Linked DNA regions of Sus scrofa. The protein of the gene in region 2 purifies or fractionates together with the protein of the main gene of each other region. This does not show direct contact. Links are inferred from orthologs where the notes say so. Each region holds a gene or a part of one and is shown on either strand. Other genes may lie near its edges.

Region 1 (3,652 bases), on a different chromosome or scaffold from region 2:
TCAGTGGGTTAAGGATCCGGTGTTGCCGTGAGCCGCGGTGTAGGTGTGTAGGTTGCAGATGCGGCTCGGATCCTGTATTGCTGTGGTTCCGGCATAGGCCTGCGGCTACAGCTCTGATTAGACCCCTAGCCTGGAAACCTCCATATGTCATGGGAAGCAGCCCTAGACAAGGCAAAAAGACAAAAAAAAATAAAATAAAATACTTTCAAAAGAATTACAATACTTCTGGTAGACATAGTAATTTTCCTATGAGCAAAACTATTAGAATCTCTTTCCCTACAAGTATATAGATGTGTCAAATTGGAGTCACTGTCTTAAAAACTTTGCTCACCACACACAGGGATATTTTCCTTATGTAATTTGAAATGAACAAATTTCCAACACATGGGTTAAAAAATAGTATCAATTTCTCCTAAGAATATAAACACACAAGCTGACAAAACAAAGAGCAACACATTTTAAAGGCAAAAAGAGAGAGTGGAGGTTTCTTTTCCAACCTATAATAGGAGAAATAAAACTAAATATTCCCATGACAAGATATAACTTTACCTGGGCCATCTGTTGCATGATAGAGCTAAAATCTTCATTTCCCAACTTTGTGGTCCAAGGAAATAACCCAGATACACTCTGGTTATTAGTGGACCTGTGGGCATTCCCACTAGTACTGGCACCATCCGTGAATACCAATAACCCTTTCCTAGAAAAATCAAAGTTGGCTGTACAATCTGAGGGAATATGGCTGAGCTGTTGGGGGGAAAAAAAAAGAGAATTATCAACAGAAACCTATAGACAAAAAAAATTCTATTTATTAAATACTATATTTTGTACATCACATGTATAATTGCATGCTAAATATATACATGTGAAAGAAATAAGATACAGATCCATGAATCTGTGTTTATAAGGCTATAAATTTTTTATTTAGTATTACACAAAACGTTTAATAGCTTAAAATTTGTTGTTTCCTGCCTTTTACCATTACCTCAAGTTAACAGCGTATTCGACAGCTCATTATACTTCACATACAGATACATCCAGTCATATAAAGATGCATGTAAGACACTGAGCCCTTTTGCATTTATCTATATATTTCCACTGGGGAGTCACAAGAGATCTGCAGGTGGTATGTAACAAAAATAACTCAGTATTTATTAAGTGCTTGCTATGAACAAAGTACTAAACCAAAACTCGTACATTGTCTCACTCAATGCTTACATCAGCCCTAGGAGATGTTCCTATTTCATTTTGTGAACATGAAAATTGAGGCACATGGGGATTAGTAACTTGCCTAAGATTAGTAGCAAATGAGTTGTAGAGCCACTTAAACACTCCTAAGGCAGGGGTGAGGTAGGGTGGTGGAATCCAGTAATTATGCAAAGAGGAAAATAGAGGTTAATTTTTAAAATATCTTTGGCTGATACAAGTGCCAACACAATGAAATAAAGATTAACATCAAGAACAAATGTCAAGGAGTTCCCATTGTGGCTCCATGGGTTAAGAACCCAACTAGTATCCATGAGAATGTAGGTTCGATCCCTGGCCTTGCTCAGTGGGTTAAAGGATCGGTCGTTGCCGTGAGCTTGTAGCGTAGGTCACAGATGCGGCTCAGATCCAGTATTGCTGTGGCTGGGTTAAAGGGTGGCAGCTGCAGCTCTAATTTGACCCCTAGCCCAGGGAACTTCCATATGCCACAGGTGCAGCCTTGGAAGGAAGGAAGGGACAATGTCCTCGCCAAAAAAAAAAAAAAAAAAAAATGTCAATAGCACCTCAAAGAAAAAAATCAACACACAGAGAAACTCCATGATAGGGCACTGATAGGAAAAAATCATGGGGATTTTATAGCTGAATGGATAAAATATGATTATGTATATAACAATGCAAACTATATAAGAGATTGTTATGAGGCAGTAGTTAGTTAGGTCCACTCTGAGTCCAGTAAGAGGGGTAGATTTATAGTGCTCTTTCTCACTTTCTATTGCCATAGCATCCACTGTTGTGATGTACTCATTCTATGATCAGAGAATAAAGAAAATGAAACTTCAATACAGGGAGTGCTAAAATTAGAGAAAGAAATTCACAGAAAGACATATGTGCAGAATTCAATCCTTAATTAGCTACATAAAAATCACTTGCTAAATATTTATGGATAGGCATTTTGGTTTATCAGAAAATAGCACTTTTTCCCAAACTTTGTTAATTTTCATTTAACAACTCTGCTACATCATCTTCAATTGCATTGAAAATTCATGCCCAGGAGTTCCCGTCATGGCACAGCAGAGACGAATCCGACTAGGAACCATGAGGTTGCGGGTTCAATCCCTGGCCTCGCTTAGTGAGTTAAGGATCTGATGCTGCCGTGAGCTATGGTGTAGGTCACAGACGTGGCTTGGATCTGGCATTGCTATGGCGTAGGCCAGCAGCTGTAGCTCTGATTCAACCCCTAGCCTAGGAATCTACATATGCCACAGGTACGGCCCTAAAAAGCAAAAAGTAATAATAACAGAAATAAACAAATAAAATTCTGCCCATATTTAACCTATAGGATAGCTACTATTCAAGCTCTGATTCTGCCATCCCTGACCCCAAAAGACCGTCAACAAGAGGACAGTTAAAACTCTTAATTTACATCATTCCAAACAGAGGTGTTAGGTGTCCCAAAATTCAGCAACCATGTATTAGTGGCTGCAAGAGCCCAGGTAGTGGGGGAAACCGAAAAATAGGGAAACACTGGGTACACCGCTATCAGGGGCTTTCTAATCACAACATGCATGGCATCTGATATTTATTAGATAAATATTTGATAATTATTCAAAGGTATAAATATGTAATGTCCTATAAGGACATGATCACTTCATGCTAGAAAAAAGATTTCCTGAAGAAAATATATTTAAGCTAAACACTATTTTATTATTTTGAAGAAAATGTTGAGATCTCTATGTACCTGACCTTTACTTAAGAAACCATATTCCAAAGCCAAACATAAAATTTATTATCAACGTTTTTAAACATTTATCAGCATTTTTAAACTACCCATGCCAATGCTACCCACAGGTTACAAGTCCTAATAATCTCTTTGCTGAATTGAGAGTAGAGACAATTTGTATCTATCTCCTTCTATCTTTCTTTGCTGCTTTGAGTGTATCAACATATAAAACCCTGAGGGTAACTTACTTGCCCCTTCAGCTGCTTGATGGACTGCTGGAGTGTGAGTATCTGGTTGAAGAGAGGGCTCTTTAGTGTCTCATAAAACAGAGACAACTTCTCATTCTGCGAAGTGTCACCTTTCTCCTGCAGTTTCATTTTCAAGCGATCGAGAACTTGCAGGACCTGCAGTTTATCTTGTGTGAAGAAAGATAATCAGAGTATAGGTTAAATCCCATTTTAACTTCCATTTTTGAATAATGAATTAATTTAGTGATAGGAGGATATGTCTAGTATACCTGTAGCAGGATTTTCAGGCATTTTGAATTATTGCCTCCAATCACTTAAACTGAAAACACCTAAAGAAAAAAATTGAATACAAAACATGATTTTTCATTAGTGTATAAGCCTATCATCCTATAATAAAATTACAGAAAACCTTAAGAACATTCTCCATCAGAAGACTTTACTCAGGAAATTCAAATCAAACCACGATGAGCTGCCACTACAC
Region 2 (3,652 bases):
TGATAATACCAGATCCTTAACATGCTGAGCCACCAGGAGACTCCCATATAGAGATATTAACAGTTATTTTTAAGTGCTCTGAAAATATTTTATTCTGAAGTCTAATAACAAAGAAAACAGCTTTTGAGAACCTATCAATTATTCTTCTACCCACGTCAGCTTACCAGTAAGTCAAAAACCTCATTGACGTCTTTCCCCCGAATTTCAATGCCATTAATCTCTAGAACTTCATCTCCTTCATGCAACAGGCCACTTTTCTCTGCAGCACCTCCTTTAACTATCCGACTAATGATGACAGAATCCATTTCATTACGAACTGTAGCACCCTAAAAAATTCAATATCCAATTTTAAAATAAAAATGCGATGTTTTGGTTAAACATTTCCTCATTTTAAAATTCTTATTTTTTTCAATTCAACAATACTAGCCTTCAGTTATCATGAGAAAAAAAATTATTTTTTACTGTTAAAAGTTTTATTGAAGTATAGTTGATTACAATGTTGTGATAATTTCTGCTGTACAACAAAGTAGATTCAGTTATACATGTAAACACCTCTATTCTCTTTCAGGTTCTTCTCCCACATAGTTTATCACAGAATACTACGTAGAGTTTTCTGTGCTACACAGCAGGTCTCTGTTAGCCAATCATTCCATATACCTCAGTGTGCATATGCCAAGCAAGAAAAAATTTATTTACACAGCTAAAGTAGTTACAGCAATTGAAAGCTGATTGTTTCCCCCACATTTTCTGCTTCAGAAGTGTTCTACTCATTAAAATTCTAAAATCAGGCTTTTCAAGCATACAACAGTATAAAAATGCACTTGCTCAAAAACAATGTGAAAGCCTATAATCAAATTTGTTCTCTATATGCTGGATGCTATTCCAATGGTTATATAATTAGTTAACATGACTTGTAAGTCTTTTTAAATTCAATATATGATGAAGCGATGAATACTGGTTAATTATCAAAATGTTAAATATTATAGCTGTCTCCAATTCACATTAAAATGTATTAGGAGTTCCCGTCGTGGCGCAGTGATTAACGAATCCGACTAGGAACCATGAGGTTGCGGGTTTGGTCCCTGCCCTTGCTCAGTGGGTTAACGATCCGGCGTTGCCGTGAGCTGTGGGGTAGGTCGCAGACGCGGCTCGGATCCTGCGTTGCTGTGGCTCTGGGGTAGGCCAGTGGCTACAGCTCCGATTGGACCCCTAGCCTGGGAACCTCCATATGCCGCGGGAGCGGCCCAAGAAATAGCAAAAAGACAAAAAAAAAAAAAAAAAAAAGTATTAAACATTAACATTTATTACACAAGTTGGAAGTAAAATTGAAATTTACACCCTCAAAAAATGGAAATATGAAATACAGAATAAAGCTTGAAAGTAGTTTCTAACACTTTTTTCCTAAATTTTATTTTAAAATTTTGTCATAATTTCCCCAATTTCTTTCTTCTCGTGGGGAAAAAAACCTAGTTACATAAACTGCCCTTTAATAGAATACAGTCCCTATTTCATGTACCACAAGACAATTTGAGACCTTAGGATTCAAGAATATTTTTCTGAAAATAAAAGAAAAGGCAATGATAGTAGACTAAGAGAAAAAAAGTTTTATATACAAAAAATATAAAATATTAACATTAGACAAAGCATACTAAATCTATGTGAAGTATGTAAGTAATTGCACTGAATGAAAAGATCAGAATCTCCAACTGTTGTCTTTTGTTTTTTAAGCTGAGAGAATAATGAAGCAGATTATCTGCGCTTTCTTTGTTCAACAATCACTGCACAAGCTATTATTTGCATCAAATTATGGGTGAGAAAAGATGAACAAATTTTTCTCAGCTGAATAAGGAGTTTGAGCAAGAACACAAAAGAATTCCAACAAATTAGCCTCAAAAGGAAAAAACTACCAGAAATGTCAAGGGTCTTCAATATCTGACATACACCAAGATCCTTGTGTAGACCCGTGGAAAGGATCTCATATCAGAGATGTGGAACACTTACCAACGGAATATCTCGAGCCTTTTCTATACGAACTATTTTTACAGTTTCTCCTCCATACTGGCCAATGCTTTCATAAACTCTCTCATCTGCAATGGGCTCTAGCTGCATTTCCTGCTCAGCAACCTTATCATGGGCCAGTAAAAGTGCCTGTTTCAAAGAAACCCACAGCATTTAAAGTAACAGCATGATTTCTGTACAAAATTTCAAACTAATCATGTAATAGTATCCTGCTCATCAAACCTTTAAAAGAAGTGCTAATTATATATTCAGATCTGTTCCCAAACTTTCCAAGTCAAGTACAACCCTGTATCTTTTATGGCTAATAATAACTAAAGATGTGTTAAGTACAATAGGGAATACTTTGAGATAAGTTACGAAAATCTAAAATGATTATTAAACTTCATAAAAACAAAATCACCTTGGGGTCCAACATCAGAGATAAAATTTATGGACAATATAACCAAAAAAGGGAGGAATTTGTAAAGAATAAAAAGTTGTTTCAAAAATTATGTGGTTAATTTTAAATTTGAAAAAAACATAATCCAACAATAATTATTATGTGATGGGAGTTGAAGACAAAACAGGCTACTTAATATCTGAGGTCTCTTTCAGCCCAAGAGACTTTGATTTGAACTGAGTTTAAAATGCTGGAAAAACTACATATATAATTCTTTGTCCATTGTCTACCTGAATATGCGGTGCATTCAGCAAAGCAGTTAATTCTTGTCCTTCCTTCTGGTGGACTGGCTTCAAAACAGTTTGTACCTAAGGAACAAAGATGATTCTTCCTAGGTTAAGAGAAATTATCACCAGCATCTACATAGGTTTTTTTTGTTTGTTTTTTTTTTAAGGTACAATTTAAAATCCTAAAAACTACTTGTAAGAAAGAAAAACACTAAAGAGAATTATAATTTTTTAAAAAAAGGTTGGGTTTTTTTTTTTTTTGGCTTTTTAGGGCCACACTTGAGGCATATGGAGGTTCCCAGGCAAGGGATCTAATTGAAGGTACAGCTGCTGGCCTACACCACAGCCACACCAGATCTGAGCCGCATCTGCAACCTACACCACAGCTCACAGCAACGCTGCATTCTTAACCATGGAGCGAGGCTAGGGATTGAACCTGAAACCTCATGGTTCCTAGTCAGATTCGTTTCTGCTACGCCACAATGGGAACTCCTAAAAAATGTATTTCTTTCTCACAGTTTTCAATCTTGTTACCATGGTTGACAATAGCATTCTTTATTTATTCCTATGAATGAGGTATTTCCTTCTTGATGATTTCTGCAAACATACTACAAAACAGACTAACAATGATTACATAAGGGAAAGACTGTTCTAATGGTTATGTTGCTATTTTATAGTTTTTAAATCATATTTATGTAACTATATTTTAAATCAGAGGTAACATTTTAAAGAGTTACAGACCAACAAGATAAATTTATATCAGAGTAATGAACAGCCACCATACTATAGTGCATCAAATTAAAACATTTCCTGAAGTCAAGCAATTCTTGCATTCCTAGGATAAACTCCACTTGATTATAATGAATTTTTTTTAAGCCCATGCTTCTTCACCTATAGAATGGTTCTTTCTCACCTGCCACAGAAGGTTCTTAAGACTGACATAATCCACATAAACTGCTTAGCACAC

Evidence for each region. The genes of interacting proteins can lie anywhere in the genome.
Region 1: the proteins of MPP5 (region 2) and PATJ purify together in Homo sapiens (co-immunoprecipitation; 5 studies listed by BioGRID and IntAct, counting the BioPlex papers as one, with this or other methods). This does not show direct contact. The link is inferred for Sus scrofa from reciprocal best matches to the Homo sapiens genes PALS1 and PATJ.

The regions. Positions count from the first base shown.
Region 1 is NC_010448.4:150,588,450-150,592,101, forward strand, and holds part of PATJ (inaD-like protein), read right to left. Parts: intron 3,501-3,652; 5' UTR 3,463-3,500; coding exon 3,441-3,462; intron 3,339-3,440; coding exon 3,172-3,338; intron 745-3,171; coding exon 550-744; intron 1-549.
Region 2 is NC_010449.5:91,010,931-91,014,582, reverse strand, and holds part of MPP5 (MAGUK p55 subfamily member 5), read right to left. Parts: intron 2,767-3,652; coding exon 2,689-2,766; intron 2,149-2,688; coding exon 2,002-2,148; intron 327-2,001; coding exon 165-326; intron 1-164. UniProt on the Homo sapiens protein: Plays a role in tight junction biogenesis and in the establishment of cell polarity in epithelial cells.